Linked DNA regions of Oryzias latipes. Each later gene encodes a partner of the first gene's protein in a complex. Links are inferred from orthologs where the notes say so. Each region holds a gene or a part of one and is shown on either strand. Other genes may lie near its edges. The genes, in order: sptlc1 and ORM1-like protein 3.

Region 1 (8,072 bases):
TGTGACGATTATTTATGAGTCCACTGTCTTCTGAAGATAAAAACGTTGATGGTTTATAAAAAAATACGTTTAAATACATTTTCTTGGTAAAAATTGCTCCGATGCAATGCATTGTGGTCTGAATTCTAGTGAGCATCAATGCACACTGGTTTTTCGCAAAGACTTCTGGGAAATTTCTAGACACAAAATTTTGGAATTGTAGATTCAGACAGCTCTAGAAAACGGTAAACGAACTATAAATACTATATAGTATATATAGTTTATAGTGAGTAGGGAAGGAATTCGTACATAACGTAGGTCCTCGAAAACAACATGTTTTCTTTTTTTGGGGGGGGCAAAAAACGGTATATTAATAATAAAAAAGCACTGGGGACGCTTTGACAACAGATCAAACGATGATGGGGGTGGGACTATGAGAATCTGCTTTCTCCTGCAGAACCAAACAGCTCCTCCTGCTGCCTCCCCCTCTCTGGAGAAACAGGTGATGTTACTGCCTGATCTGCCGTCACCAGAACCGTCACCGCGTGAGGCAGACTGCAGGAACCGCACACTCACCGAAGGTCCCGTAGAAGCCTCTGGGGCCACACGTGCCCACGCCGTACTTTTTCAGGGATGCCAAAGCCTTGTCCTGAAACGAGTCAGGGGGGGAAAAAAAATCATTCCAACGTTCCCATCGGGGGGCAGAAGCTTCAGCAAAGTTCGGACCTTTACACGGTCGCTGTCCAGGAGGCCCAGGAAGTTAAAAGATGCAAAGTTGGTGCACTCTTTGCCATTAATGATGATTTTGTGGCTGGGGGGTCTGCAATAAAAATATGACAATTTGACTGTCAATGGTAACATATTCAGTTTAATGCTGCAGGCATGGAAACCCTTAAAACCCTGAGATGATTGAGGAGAACATTCAAAGACATGAACTCTGTACAATGTGGCACGTGGATCTCCTCTGGATCTCCTCAGAGTTTCTGAGGGAATCAGCGGGCGCCGTTTGTGGGACGCTGAATATCTGGAACAGGACCGTGGATCTTCTACTTCAGGGTTTTCTCAGAGAAAGCTGGAGAGCTGCTAGGGCCGAATCTGAATTCTTCCCCTATCCCTCCAACGGTAAGGGGCATTTGGAGTAATGACTGTAAGTAAGGCCCTTTTGTTTTTGCATGGCTTTTCCGGGCACTGGAAGCTACTTGCTAATGCGGGTGACCGGCGACTATTGATGACATCATCGAGTGGGAGTGACGTCTGAATTAGAAGACGTTGTTTTTGAATAACTCTCCGTTTGGTACTCCGTTTGTAGGGGGTGGGGAGAAGCCGTAGCGGTAGAGGAAGAATTCGGATTCGGCCTAATTCTCTCCTACATGAGCCTGAACGAGACACGGAGCGGAAACATCTCAGTCCAGACCGTGCACATCTCTGTGCACATCTCTGTGAGATCCAGCAATGATGGAGGCCAGCACAGAGGAAAAGCTTCAGCAAGAAAAGGGGTGTGGTCGGACATCGGCAGCTGGGATTGGTCGGCTTGATGTGCTGCACTTTTAAGTCAGGTCTGAGGACAGCTGCTACAGGCGCGAGGAATCCGAACATGCACGTTCAAAGGCAGCACGTGCACACGCGGCATTATTAAGGCGAACAAAAAGACGCACAGAGCGTGATGTGAAGCTGCTTCTGCCTGGATTTGGAGCTTGGTGAGGCTCTGGAAACGTGTGCAGAGAAGACAGATCCAACGACAGGAACACACTTCACATCTGCTGGTTTGATGCCGCAGGAGGGCTCTGGACCTGCTGATGCATGTGTAGCGAGCGCAGCGGAGGAGCGCCCCCTGGAGTTTTTACCCTGTGACCACGTCGTAGTTGAGCGAAGGGTGATCTTTGGAAACTGGAGGAACCAGAGGCTCCGGCTGCCATTCCTCGATCAGATCTTCTTTTTCCTGAAAACACAGAGGATGTCAGCCACCCGCAAACTCAGGATCTGTGGTGGAGCGTGCGCACAGGCGAGGCTACCTTCTCGGTGAGTTTGTAGGTCTCGTGCGGTTTGTAGGTCTTGGAGAAAAAAAGGAGTCTGACGATCCACAGGATCAGGATCCCCTCTAGAATCAGGTGATACGCAGGAGCCTGGAGCCCAGAGAGCAGAGGATGAAGGACCCCAGCAGAGGAGCACACCACCTATGAACACCTGAACACCTTTCTGGAATAATGGTCAGCAGTCGTGGCCGACTGGATCGGACCCGGAAATGATTCAGCCTAACTGAGGAGTGAGTGGGCGGAGCCTCTGATCTGACCTCCTTCAGCTCCTAAAAGGAAACTGAGCATAAACATTGTAACATTTATTCTGAGGCAAGATTTTCTGTGTTCAAGCTCTGAACCATCGGATTGATTGGCTTTTATGTGATGGTAACATTATTTTAATCCTGCTTCATCGGTTAACCGGTTACTCCATGTCTCCCCAGGTGTGAATGCGTGAGTGACCGGCAGCAGACTGGCGACCTGTGGGGGGTGTGAACCCCGCCTTCACCCAACAGAAGCTGGGACAATGGTCGGATGAAATAATTGATCTTTCAGATCAAATCCTAATGAACGCTGCTCTCATATTTAATTAAAGCTGTTTCAGCAGCAATTTTATTATGTTGGGGGGGGAATCTACACACAACCCTTAGCAAAAAGTAGTATACTTTATTTTACGGAGTATCCATGAGTACAAGTGTAGCAGGTAGAGACTATAGACCATGAACGTGTAGTGTAGTAGGAATACTTACTGCATACTGATACTTGTAGTATACTGCCTCACTTTAGGTATAGACCTAGTATAATTGTAGTACCTGTGTTGTTTTCTACGACATAGTTTCTGCAGGGCGGCAGGAGTTCATTAGAAATTCACCTCCGAGTTGTGGCCAGAACTGCCCTTCACAACCCCAACCCAACATTAGAGGTGCAACACAAATGGGCAGTAATATTGGTGTGTAGAAGGATGACTGAGGTAGTAGTACACGCCATTTACCACCCAGAAGCTTTTTCAAACTGTGCATTTCTTCTGCTCCACGGTCACGACGATTCGAGAAAACTTTCAGCTGCGCTGATTAAAGCTGTAGAAGGACACGGACCATAACAAGGCCTGCAGACATAACAGCGAAGAGAACTTATAAACTCTATTAAAACCAGGACGGCTGTCAATCGGGCAACAGAAAAACGAATACCAACCTTGGACGGTGGTCAGAATATGGACCCTTATTATTACCTTATAATTATAATTAAAAAAAAAAAACTTAATCAATTATTGGAGATGATTAAAGTGATTGATCTCTAATTATATCACTTCACTTGCTCCAACAATTGATTCAGCATTTTTTTCTAATGAAAAATAATCTGCACATGTATTTTTAAGTTTTGATACTTGATCTGGATTTGCTATGAAGATTTCTGAAACAGTGTTTCTGTCTGTTATTTTTAATTATAGTCATGATTTCTCAGTAAACATAATCTGCACATATGTTAGATAACTGGCCTGCATGTGCTATGTTGATTTCTAAGATAGTTTTACGTAATAAGTAATTCGTCTTTGTCAGGTGCTTTATTGATTCTTCAGGATTCTTAAGTCTGTCTGATAAAAGTTATGAACCGGATAAACTAATAATCAAATTTTAATCTTAGTTTTCTAAATACATCATGAGACAAATGCGAAAAGGAAACGTTAAACACATTTTCATTGGAGTGGGTCTTTAGAAACAGTGACTCCACAGGCACAGTCCTGCTCCATCTATTGACCTGTTGCCATGGAGAATCACTGAGGATTTGTCTTCTGTCTCAGAGTAACTAATCTAACCCTGACCAGCCTCTCTGGTGCCTGACTGTTGATAAAACTGGGAGAAATTAATCTAAACAAAAACGACACTATCTTCACCCGGGATAGATGAACCCAAAGCGAGTTCACTCAAGTTAGGTTAACCCACCGAAAACAACTCATACTAACTAACTTAACTCAGAGGCACAGAAATGAGAGGGGTTGTTGTACACTTAAGGGTAACAGAGTCCCCCTCCACCCTTCCGCACGCGGAGCCCTGATGCTCCGCCCCCGGAGGACCCCCGGAGAACACCAGCCGCGCGCGCCCAAACATCGTTTCCTTAAGCTAGCAGTGAAGAACGGTCCAGGTGCTGAAGAAAGACCCCCCTCCCTCCCTCCCTCCCTACCGTCGGAGCGGGGGTCCCACCATACCTCGTAGAAGGCCTGAACCATCTCCACCAGCACCCACTGCTGCCCGGCCGCCATGACGCTTCCGCCTTCTGTGATGTCATCGTCATGCTGCGTTCAGGGTCCAGCTGGAATGTCAAACAATTCCCATCAAATCCTCGGTCATTTTAATGTACATTTAATTAGTTCCATTTTAGTTTGTTAAAATTCGGAATCCGACTTGTTTTGTTCAGCTGAACTGAATTTTTAAGCAGATTTGCACCTGCCGAAATTCACTTTAAAATCCAAAATACTGAAAGAATTAGAAGGTAAATTAGTGGGTTGCATGTAACCCTATTCTGATGAAAATGGTGTTTTTGGTGTTTTTAACATGTTTTTGTGGCATTTTTCTTATGACGGAGGACATCTGTTAAGAAAAGTTTTAAAGCTGAGCATTTCTTTATGCAAATTATTGTGAATCAGGAGCAGACAAGAAAATGCAGCTTGAAAAAGATCATATTTGTGATGTAGAAAATTCGCTTGGGGGCCACAAGCTCCCTGCTCTGCTCCATTCTGATTGGTCCACTTGCAGACAAACATATCCGTGTATGTCTTCATTTTCCTTTCGTAGCTGGCATCTGGCCCAAGACTGTATGACTGGATAGATCTGACATTGATCTCCATTTTTGTTGCACCTCTAATGTTAGGTTGGGGGTGGAACGGGCTGTAAGCTATCGGCAGAGGGTGTTAACAGAGAGCTCTCAGTAACAGGGATGGGGTTGCTCAGGGCCAACAGCCCCACCCACATCTGGAATACATCTCAACCACATCTCAAACTATATCCCAGAAAACGACACTGTTTTTTTTTTAAAATTTTGGCTAGAAATGACATCATCATGATTAAAAGACCACCGGGAACACTTTTACAACAGATCCAAAGATGATTGAAGTGGGACTTTAATGACAGCATTTCCTATCAAACAGCTAGGTGGCTCAGTTGGCTGGGTATAAGACCGGGTTGGCTTCCCAAATGGCACAATGAACCTCCCCCAGTGCGGGTCCTTGGGCGAGCACCTTCATGTTAATATTGCAGCCAAAGGTCTTTGTCCCCCTGTGCCGGTCCCCAGCCTGGATAAAATACAGTGTTCTGTCAGGAAAGACAACTGGAGTCTAAATCTTTGCTGTAACACCTGTACAAATCAGTAAAAGCTGATTAGCTGTGGTGACCCCTAAAGAGATATGCTGAAAAGGTTCACATATTTGACTTCAAACCATACACTAAGCATGTGTGGTGTCTTTGATCTGAAAGATGCTTTAACAGGTAACGTCCATATTTTGGTCCCTTTCGAAAGAATGAGTTGCAGCAGAATAAAATTGTTCCTTCTTGTTCCTGTAGGTGGAAAGTGATGGGCCAGCCCCAGTTCGCTCTGTTCAAACCTATGCCTGAATGGGAAAGAAGAAAAAAAAAATCAAATTCCTTTATTTTCACATCCTTTTTTATATATTTTTTCATACCTGGAGCAACGAACATGTCTCCAAGATAAGCCATTGTAAGTTTTCTCACAACAGTTCTATACAAACAAACAAGGTGCATGAAAAGACCGAGCCTTGAGCTGTGAGGTCGCAGGTCATGGCGGGCTGCCAACAAGCGGAAGGCGCGTCTGAACAGACATGTTTGGATGCATTTGCAGACATCAGATCTGAGTTTCTCCTCACAGGCCAGCGCAGTGCATGTGGCATGCATGTAAACTATATGATCGGGCAATAATCGCCGGCAGAGGCCGCTATCCAACATGGCAATCTGCTGTAGATGCTGAGAAGCACCAGCACCATCTGCTGAAGGAGGCTGGATCATCAAGACAGCCCTAAATAATCCATTCATTCATTTTCTTAACCCGCTATACAAAGAACAGTGGAAGACTTCGTTACCATTCAATATCCAGAAACAGTACTTAGAAAATGAAGGATGTAGGAACTTCAAGATCAAACTGATAAGAACCATAAAGAAAAGTTTCTGTGTGTCGGTGTGTGGCACTAAACTTTGGAACGGGTTCAGTAATGAGCTCAAACAATGTTCAGATATTCAAGAAAAAGGTATAAAGAAACTCTGATCTCATGATATAAAGATAAGTCGAGTTAAGGAATAATTCCAAATACATGAACTTGATGGTGGTGAAATAATCAAAGCTATTTTAATTACAACAGTAAAATTGTAAAATGAATTTACTCAGTAGGGGTGGGATTATATACGTTTGCTTCTTCCCGCTCCTTTTCAAGCAATAAATCAAGCTCTACTTGACTTTAGTTAATGATCACTGTATTTAATTAAGCAAACGTGATTTAAGTGACTTTTTGGTTTTGTTTTATTTTCTGTCTTTTTAATCTATGCATTTCATCATTTCTGTAATGACTTTGATAAATAAGTGTCAATTCTTTATTGCTTTGACTACAATGCTTGACATATATCAATAAATCAAAATCAAATCAAATCAAGACTCTTTCCAGTGACCTGACGTTGCCGCTGGCTATGCTGTTGTAGGCTTGTTGTTTGCTTTGTCACCAGCAGGGGGCAGTCTGAAACATCAGTATCCAACCTCAGTCACTGACAGAACACTGACTTTCAAATGAAGTCAGTTTTTACTTGTCTTATCTGTGATGTTTAGATCCTGCAGCGTTCACCGATCATCAGCCTCTAATTCCCACGTTCTAAGACTTACTGGAGGACAGCCGGCAAAGAAAACACTTTGGGCCAATAAATCCTAACGGGTTTTAAAGAGATTCTGAAGAATAGCTATGGAGATGCCTGCATAACCGCTGGATGCAAAGCACTCCTGAAATTTAAACCGGTTTCCAGAATGCTCTAGACTTCAGTTTAGATGATGATATTTTTAAGTATCTAACCAGAGTTTATGGGGAGAAAGAAGTTAGTTGTTAGTATTTATTCATATCCTAATGTGTGGTTGACGATCTGATTCTTGATATTCGTTCATCTTGAATGATCCGATTCATTGATGTAAGATCGATCCGTGACATGTTTAGTCAAAACCAGTGTGACTCCGAGAAAAATACCTGGTACTGAACAAGTGAAGTTTTCCAGATTTCTTCAAGATAATCAAGTGGAAATGAAATATGTGTCCAAACAAACAAGAAAACTAGAATAAATGTCCAATCCATTCACATTTTAGTTTCCTAAAGTTCAGCCAGCTGTTGTTTTTCCACATCCAAAGAATCCAAAGGGAACATTCTAACCCCTTGTGCTATCTTATGGGGTCCAGATGACCCTACCCTTGCATTGACGTGTTCTCCCTACCATGACAAAGGTGGATAAAGGTGGAAAGATTTCATGTAATGCATGGACACCAGTGAAGATCACAAATCATTGAAGACAAAAGCTTCAGCGCACTGTCTAGTGGGTCTAGATGACCCAACTCCCAACCAGTAGCAGAAGTGGGGTCATCTGGACCCCACAACATAGCATGAGGGTTAGAACCTTCTAGCAGTGTGTTTCCACACATTGGACTGGAATGATGGACTGATCCATTTCTGCTGCATCACATTTGTGTTGATGCACTTGGTTGTTTTAATGTTACAGTAAAATGAATCTACTGAACCTCAATCCAAACAATATTTTCCAATTACACTTTGATTTATTTCATTATGAAGCAATTTTATAACGGTATAAGTCGATTTTAATAACAACTTGCCTCAGACAGATTATTCTGGTTGAATCATAGGAATCATTAATCGATTCATCAAATAAATCGATGAATTCCAGAAGTTTGGCAAGGTGGGGAGGGCGGTGCAACACTCCAAGAACAAATTCAAACTTAAACAGGAAAGCGAAAGATAAATAACACAAATAGCATGAGCTGTCTTTAGCTCAACCGAACACAACACAAAACCTCTGGATTTCATTTGAC
Region 2 (7,811 bases), on another chromosome or scaffold:
GTAAAAACCTGTTGAAAATGCAATTTTCATCAGAATCGATCTGTTTAGGCAATCTTTAATTCTACAGGTGACTTTCCAAATCCTAAGAAGACTCATTAAAGGTACCCTGTTATAGTAAAGTCAAATAGTTTTTTTGGTTCTGGCTAATCTGTTTATCACAACCGTTCCTGTACTGGAAAATTCCAGCATTGCTACAAAGCCTCGTCTGTTTGCTCCCAGGGATTTTCCTGAAGGGCTGTTTTGTATTATAAAAGGTCCTAAAAGATAACAGATCATTTTAAGCATTCAAGCAGGTTTTTAGGAATAAAACAGAAGTTTTCTTACATTTAGTTAAAGTAGACTTTATCCTATGAAAATGTCAATTAGGGATGCACCAATCACTTTTGGGGGTGGAATTGATCAATTGTCCTTTTTCAGAGAGAGGTGAGCTGCAGATAAAGCTCTTTAACAAAAATAAATTTAGTTTATAAATTATTTACTGATGGCAGATACCCCATAACTTAGAATAAACTCATCAAAGTGACTTAAATTGCTGTTATTTTTTTAAATTACAAAAAAAAGTAGCATTTTAATGCAGTTTGATCAAATACGCCATTTTCCCCCAGTCTCTGATTTAAGGGGTGAGTCAGTGGGATTTAAAATTGTTGCGTTAAAAGCGTCGTAATATTTGGTTGCAGAAATATCTCTGTAGAAATGAAGCCATGGTTCAGAGGAGGCATTAATAGTGGACAGCTTTATGGTCTCTGCCAAGCTTAAACAGCAGCTTATGGGACTTTACAACAAACAGAGTTGAGGGGACCATCTTTAAAGTGTGCAGAGTCTGTAAACATCTATGTTTGTACGGTCTGTGCCCACAGATTCAAAGCAGATGTGAACATCACTCACTGCAAAAATATTCCAGGTTGTCATGTGGATATTTAACGATGACCTTTCCTCTTTTCCTGCCTGATTTAGGAAAAACTTTTCTCTTTGGTCACAAAAACATCCTATGGAGTAATTGTAACGCAGGAAGCAGCTGAGTAGGAACAACGACGGGAAGATTTATGAAAGAATCGAACCGTGATGGAATCAGCTCACTTCCTTCATGGATTACCCGTCAGATTATAAAAGCATATTGACCGTAATGCAGTGGCATAAAGCCCTCTGTTGATGCTGGGTTCATAGGCATGTCTAAACTGGACACATCAAGAACGTCAACCAAGGGATTTAAAAAAAGCAAGAGCTAAGGTTGAAGTGGGTTGGGCACATGAACCAGAGTTTGCTCCACCCACCTCAGCTTCAATCCAGGATATGGCGGTTTAAAAAAAAAGTCTTCTCCATTAATCACAAATAGATAATAAAGCAATCAAGACTGAGAACTATTTATTTTTCAAGAGCTGCAAGATTTGTTTTTTGTTTTAATTTGCAAACAGTGGGAAGTGATTTATTAGGATAAGGAGTGACAAAGTGGCCATAACTCCCAATAAACGGATCAGAAATAAAAAAAATAAAAATAGAGTTTGAAATTGGTGAATCTCTAATGAGAGATTTAGAAAATAAAATTACATTTATTAATCCTAAATAACAAAACATGATTGGTAGTGATTTCTGAACACATCTATTGTTCAGTTTATTGCTGAGCAGTTTGGAAATCTTTTCAGTCAAGAACTTTTTCCCTCACATTCTTAACAAGAGCCAGACTATTTTGCAAACAGGTCAAAGAAGGACAAGATGTCCCAATATGGAAACGGGCACATAATTGCAAGAGTTGGGTAAGGTTTTATTCCTGACCCTGAGCAGAGAAAGCTAAATATAAACCGCTGTGGTTCGTGGAGTCTGGCCTCTGTGGCGGTTCGCAGCTCCCTGATCATTTCAAACGTTACTGCTCTCCTTCCTTCAATCCCAAACCCAGGAGCCAGCTGCACATAGGAAGGAAGCTGAATAAATAAAATAAGAATACAACTACAGTCGCCCACCTTTGATACTGTTAATCTAAGATAAATTCCCTTTCAATTAAAAAACAAACATGCAGGCGAATCCAAGATTACAGATCAGAGTCATGAAACTTCCCTGTTTGCTTCTGTGCAGTACAGTGTCTCTAGCGAGGGTTAGGAACCATGGCAGAATCCTCCTGGGAGTTCCTTCAGAGAGCTGTGTTCCAGAAGACTGCAGAAGGAACTGCGAGTGCTCTTTGCTGTACCAGGAAAAAAGTGAAGAGGAGTCCGTCTCCATTCTGTCAGTATTTGTTAATCCCAAAAATTCTGACGCCGTGGAGCTGCGGCAGCTTAGGGATGAGCACAGTGAGCAAGGAAACGGTGTTGACCACAAAATGGACTCGGTCGTATTTCGTGTAGAAGCTGGTTAACAAATACCTGCATCAGAGGTAAAGAAAAGAGAAGGAGAATAAAATGTTAAGACAGGTTATCCTCTTTAGGGAAAATACCCATTAACGTCCCTTTAGAGCTTTTCCTTCTCACAAAAACCACAAACAAGATCAAACCATCATCCCACACAATCCTTATATGTTTGAGTACAAACACAGGAGGTGAATATTTCTGAGCTGACATGTGAGAACACGTTTCAAAATCAGTCAATCCAAATGAAGTTCAGGGGAAACACTGCCGTCACAGCTTTTACTCTCAACTGGCAAATGAACCCCAGAGAAGTAAAGACCCGTCTGTAACCTGAACTCTGGGTTAATAAAAAAACAAGCCAGGAAAGCAGGGGGAGGTGTTCCCGAAAACCATGAGGCCCCTAACAAGTTCGAAGGCTTGTGAGGAAAATAAGAGAAAAGCTGTGATTGTGAGCATATTTGTAAATGTAAACCTGAAACTAAAAGCTTAAAAGGAGCTCGGGTTCCATTTCAAACAAACTCCTGTGGTTCTACTTTCAACCTTAAAGCTACATACACATGCGCTCAAGAACGTGCTTCACACTGGACACACTGGGAAAGGCTTCTTCTTTTTCCACATTTACTAGCGCATGTCCGCCAACTAAAGTTGGAAGAGGCTTGGTGCAAAATGTCAAGGTGGTGTAAATCTTGCGATTTGGGCATTGAATGATTTGGTTTATTGCTAGCGTAATTGCAAAACAGATATGCGAGAGTGGCCTTGGTCTATCTTTATTTGAAATCAAATCAGACCAGATAAACCGCCTACACTCCAAGTTTGGTGAGTTTCATCGCGCTTCCGGCAGTTTTTCCGTCAATCCTGGGCCACCAATACGCCACTACCAAATCCAAGTCCCTGATTGGTCAAAGTACAAACTGGTTTAACTTACAATGTGTGTTCAATGGGGACTTGTTTTATACATAGAGCCCGAAAACGGTCGTAAAAGCTTGCGTAGCTTCGCCGGAATGCAAGAAAGCCGTGAAATGCGCGTTTACAAAAGACTTATTAGGAAGTGGCCACTTGAACATGCATTGCCTAGGGCGGTGTGAACATTGCTTAAAAACGAGACGCGTTCTCAAACTACTTACAAGACAATAGGTGTGACAGTGAGGAACTTGCGGGACGCAGTGAACTGCACACCGTAGTCCATCTGCTCCCAGTGTGTGAGGAGGCGAGCTTTGCCCTGATCTGGCGTCTGGAAGGGCGTCCCTTTGACTGTGTGAAGGAGCAGATACATGCACTGCAAAAGAGAAAAAAAACCACAAAGTTAACTTTCATGTCCTACTCAAAAAAATGCCAGTTTTGGCTTCTATGGTAGATATTTTTGGCTTCACTCACCAGATTGTGGATCATGTTGGTGAGGGTCCAGACAACTGGGACGCTGACAAAAGGGATGCTGAGAAGGATGAGATGAAGGAGGCCGATGCTAAGAGTGTAGGAAAGCCACATGCCCCTGCTGTTCATCACCCGGGTGTTCGGGTTCACCTCGCTGTGTGCCGTCCCCACGTTCATGATGCCAATACTGCTGCTACCCAGCCGTAGACTTTTTAGCCAGATACTAGTTCACAGGAGAAAAACAAAGACGTTCACGGATCTGTTTGTCTGCAAGCGAATGCATCGGAATGGAGCGGAGCAGGGAGCTTGTGGCTTGTCTTTTGTTTTTTCAAACAGTATTTTTCGTCTGCATCTGATTGGTACCGATTTAAATCAAGAAATATTCAGAAATGTAAGTTTAATCTTAATTTTCTTTAATATATATGTCCTCCACCATGAGAAAAATGCTACCAGAACATGTTTGAAACACGATTTTTTGATTTTTTCTTTTAAAAAATCCCAGCAAAACATTAAAGAAAACAGCTAATATTAATGTCGAAAAGCTTTAAGAATAAAAACAAAATAAAAATGTCCAACTAGTGCACCCTAGCCAGCCACCTGCAAAAATTACCTGTTTTTTTGTTCGCAAAAAACACAAATAGAAAGATAGAAAATTTATACACTAAATATTTAAATTATATATATAATATTTAAAAAATAAAGCAGTAAAAAAGAGAATATATATGCCGCTAAAAACTGCAAATATTTAATAAACAAGGTGGTAGAACGTTATTCACTAACTTGTCCAAACTCGAGACAAAATGAACTGCAATAAAACCTCTAAAGAAGCGAACTTAAAGTATGTCCATTTATGCAAATTATAGCTGAGAAAAATTAAGGTGTAAGTTGATGTTTTTAACTCGTACCTGAGGACAACAGTCCGTTATCTCAGCTTGTGTAAAGCGATCCGCTAGTTGTGTAACCGGTGCACGCGCTGGTCCACTGCCGTCGTTAACGCCATCTTCCCGTCCCTGCTTTGGTGGTCATACTGTAACCGTCCGCTCACTGGGACGCAAGCTACCGAGACTGCTTCAACTTTTACTCGCTCCTCTAGCCAACAGCTGGTGAAAACACCGCACACGCCACAAAGAAACGTCAGCGATATCCACTTTCATTGCCACAGTTTTTGATCGCATTTTGCTGCTATTGGCTGTAAAAGGTCATGTGATAAAAACTAGCCTGCCACGGGCTGAGCTGATGAAAGAAGTAAACCACGCCCCCTGCGTCATAGAGGAGGAGGCGCTTAACAAAATGATTGACATTTAGAAGCAGCTTTAACAAACAAACAGATCGTTCATTAAAGTAGGGAAGTTTTTAAATAAAAAGGAATTTTTCAAATTAGATTTTTTTTTTGAAACACAGATAAAAAACAAAAAACTAGTAAAAAAGTAAAGTACAGGCATGAAACAGAGCAACTTTTATTTTATTTCCAGTAATGGAAAACATGAACACTTTAATTTAGTCTAAAAGAAGGTCTAAATAAGCTGTGAAAAAATAAAAAAAAAGTCAAAGCAACCAATGAAAAAAAGAAAAAAAATCCATTGACTTATTTTCTGTAAGTTATTTGGCTCCACAACTCCTCATAAACACTGGACACTTATCTTTTATTGTCATTTTGATTTGATTTTAAATGGTTTATTTCAAGCAATCAAATAAGACTAATACACAGAAGCAATAAAATAATTTATTGTTTAGTATTTATTATTATTTGCTTTTTTAGGAGCTATGGAAAATAATCAAATCAACGTTCATGTTGTCTGATTAATAAAGTTTTTTTTTTATATGGCCCAGTTTAGTTAGTCTGTTTAGTTTAGTTAACCATTACCTATTAAGCTGTATGACTTCATGTTCTTTATGATTTTATGTTTATCAGAAAGCCCAATGAGATTACTTTTGTTGTAATGTTGGGATATATAAATAAAAATTAAATTGAATTTATTAATATGTTTGCATAAAATGCCATAACTGAATGAGATGCAATTTCTTTCACCTGATATTTTTAAATTCTTTTAGTACTTGAGTTCAGAATTGTGGCTGCGTTGTTGGAAGCCCATTCAACGTCTAAAATGAAGTGGATGTGGGCTGAAATATGTGAACCTTGTTTACTAGGTTTCACTCACTAAGAAATGTCAAACTATTAAAGACAATCATCTCCACCAGTAAGAGATTTTTGTTAGCATACGAGAAAACAAACACGACAATGTGGAAGTCATATTAGGACTCCTGAGCCTCATTTTCTCCTATGAGCTGGAGATGGGAGGGGTGGTCAGGCCACAACCTACTTTTAACTGGAAGCCTAATGGTCTACTCTGTTTCAAACACTGAGACTGTGTACTTTTTCTTTCAGTCAGATTAAATGAAAGACAGAAGGCTCAAATTTACAATTACCTTTATTCGTATGAATCCTGAGAGGGACTTGAGGCGGGGGTGCCCAAAGCTGCTCTGGTTATGATGACGTAAATTTAAGATGAACTTTCCTAAGACTTCAGACCGTTTAGTGACGCAGTGTCTGTGTGGAGTTGAAAAGGAGGTGGATTTTTTCCCCTGTTCTGCAATAAATGAGTGTAAAGAAAGAGAAGATTTTTAAAATTGACAGCTCATTTATGATTGGGCAAGAGGGTGGGTCAAGATATGGTTTGATAGAAGTTGATAAATGATGAAAAACAGATCATTTATAATGAATATCCAAGAGATGAACTTCTGCTGAACTTTGTTTTGTAAGATCTAACAGTTTATATTGAGTCACTGAACTGAATTAATCTCTTTTATAACACATTCACTATGGAAAACGCAGTTTTCTCAGACGCCTGATAGAGATTAGCTCTGTCAAGGTATCAAGCGTTTGTCTTCCTTTTGAAAAATTAAGGTTATCAAAACTAGACACAGTCACTGTTGCCCTATAGATGACTTTGTTGAAAGATGTAACAACTTTATAGACCCCTCCAACAACCATTTTTCAGAAAAGCAAAGAACCTTGTCAGGAATTTGAGTGATAGGTGATCGGTGAGCCTCATGGTCCAAAATTAACTTGCGGATATGTTTTATTGATATATTTTTGAAAATAGTTTAGTGTTCAGCCAAACCTGGTGGCAACAAACAGAGAGCTTTTGCGTATATGTGCGTTTTGGCTTCCGCATTCAAAACTCTTGCATTTATGCATTGCTGCACAAGTTTTATGTTCATTTTTTTGGGCTCTACCTACAAACCGTGTGGCCACTGAATGCCAATAGAAAATTAAACTAGTTAAACTTTGACCAATAAAGGATGTGGATTTGGTTGTGATGTATGGGTTGCATCCCTTTCAGTTAAAGTGATTGCCAACCATTTGAACGTTGATCATGGAGGAGTAATTAACAATTACAGTTTGTGCCCAGGCGCAATATATGACACCAATTCTTTCATATATAAAAACTGGAGCAAGATTTGCACCACTTTGACATTTTTGTCAAGTCTGTAGGTACCTGAGCTAGTATCGGGTAGTGACAGTCCAGTGTGAACACCATATGCATGTCAAATGCCTGGTGTGTACATAGTATTGCTAACTCGTGTTATTTCAGTGTTTGCTTCCACTTGTTCGCCCACAGCATGCCTGTAGAAAATAATGTGCATGGACATTTTCGCTTTACAGGATCACCGAGGGATATTCGACTTTGATATCTCCCGCAGGCCATCTGTGTGCCCCATATAGGTTTGCCCGTTTTTCAACCGCAGACAGCCCGTATCCACCCGTAAAGGCAGTTGTGACTAAGGCCATACCTGCTGTCAATCTCTTGCTGTTAGCACAAATGCTAAATCTTGCCAGGCGCTACAAACAACATTTTTCTCACTGAGGACATAAACCACTAACTCTACTACTGCATCAAACTGAGCAGGACCTCAATGCTCCTGCAACAGGACGCTCCTGGCTAAACATGCAGCTACAGACAGAGCAGCTCCTGCTAGAGGCACTAACTCACTATGCTCCCCAAATCAGAGATCAACAGTGTCATGTTTGACATCACAAGATAAGTTTAAATAGTAATTAAGGCCCACAGGCCCACTTGCATGAAATGTTACACGACATGGACT

Evidence for each region.
Region 2: the proteins of sptlc1 (region 1) and ORM1-like protein 3 are in contact, whole or in part, in a cryo-EM structure (PDB 7K0N), measured with the Homo sapiens proteins. The link is inferred for Oryzias latipes from reciprocal best matches to the Homo sapiens genes SPTLC1 and ORMDL3. Residues at the interface, in NP_006406.1 of Homo sapiens: Ala16, Leu17, Ala20, Pro21, Tyr23, His24, Leu27, Glu28, Leu31, Ile32, Trp34, Ile35, Leu38, Leu39, Ser41, Lys42, Thr43, Tyr44, Lys45, Leu46, Gln47; in NP_001307730.1 of Homo sapiens: Gly92, Val93, Gln94, Phe95, Thr96, Ala97, Lys100, Thr103, Ile104, Ile107, Tyr110, Phe111, Ser114, Tyr119, Gln121, Phe124, Thr128, Leu131, Met132, Leu139, Pro140, His143.

Annotation. Positions count from the first base shown.
Region 1 is NC_019870.2:27,660,452-27,668,523, forward strand, and holds the start of sptlc1 (serine palmitoyltransferase 1), read right to left. Parts: upstream 4,301-8,072; 5' UTR 4,252-4,300; coding exon 4,198-4,251; intron 2,103-4,197; coding exon 1,992-2,102; intron 1,919-1,991; coding exon 1,824-1,918; intron 800-1,823; coding exon 706-799; intron 629-705; coding exon 556-628; intron 1-555. UniProt on the Homo sapiens protein: Component of the serine palmitoyltransferase multisubunit enzyme (SPT) that catalyzes the initial and rate-limiting step in sphingolipid biosynthesis by condensing L-serine and activated acyl-CoA (most commonly palmitoyl-CoA) to form long-chain bases.
Region 2 is NC_019877.2:18,587,454-18,595,264, forward strand, and holds the start of ORM1-like protein 3, read right to left. Parts: upstream 4,917-7,811; 5' UTR 4,611-4,916; exon of another isoform or gene 4,610-4,610; intron 3,931-4,609; 5' UTR 3,882-3,930; coding exon 3,708-3,881; intron 3,610-3,707; coding exon 3,458-3,609; intron 2,352-3,457; coding exon 2,216-2,351; 3' UTR 1-2,215. UniProt on the Homo sapiens protein: Plays an essential role in the homeostatic regulation of sphingolipid de novo biosynthesis by modulating the activity of the serine palmitoyltransferase (SPT) in response to ceramide levels.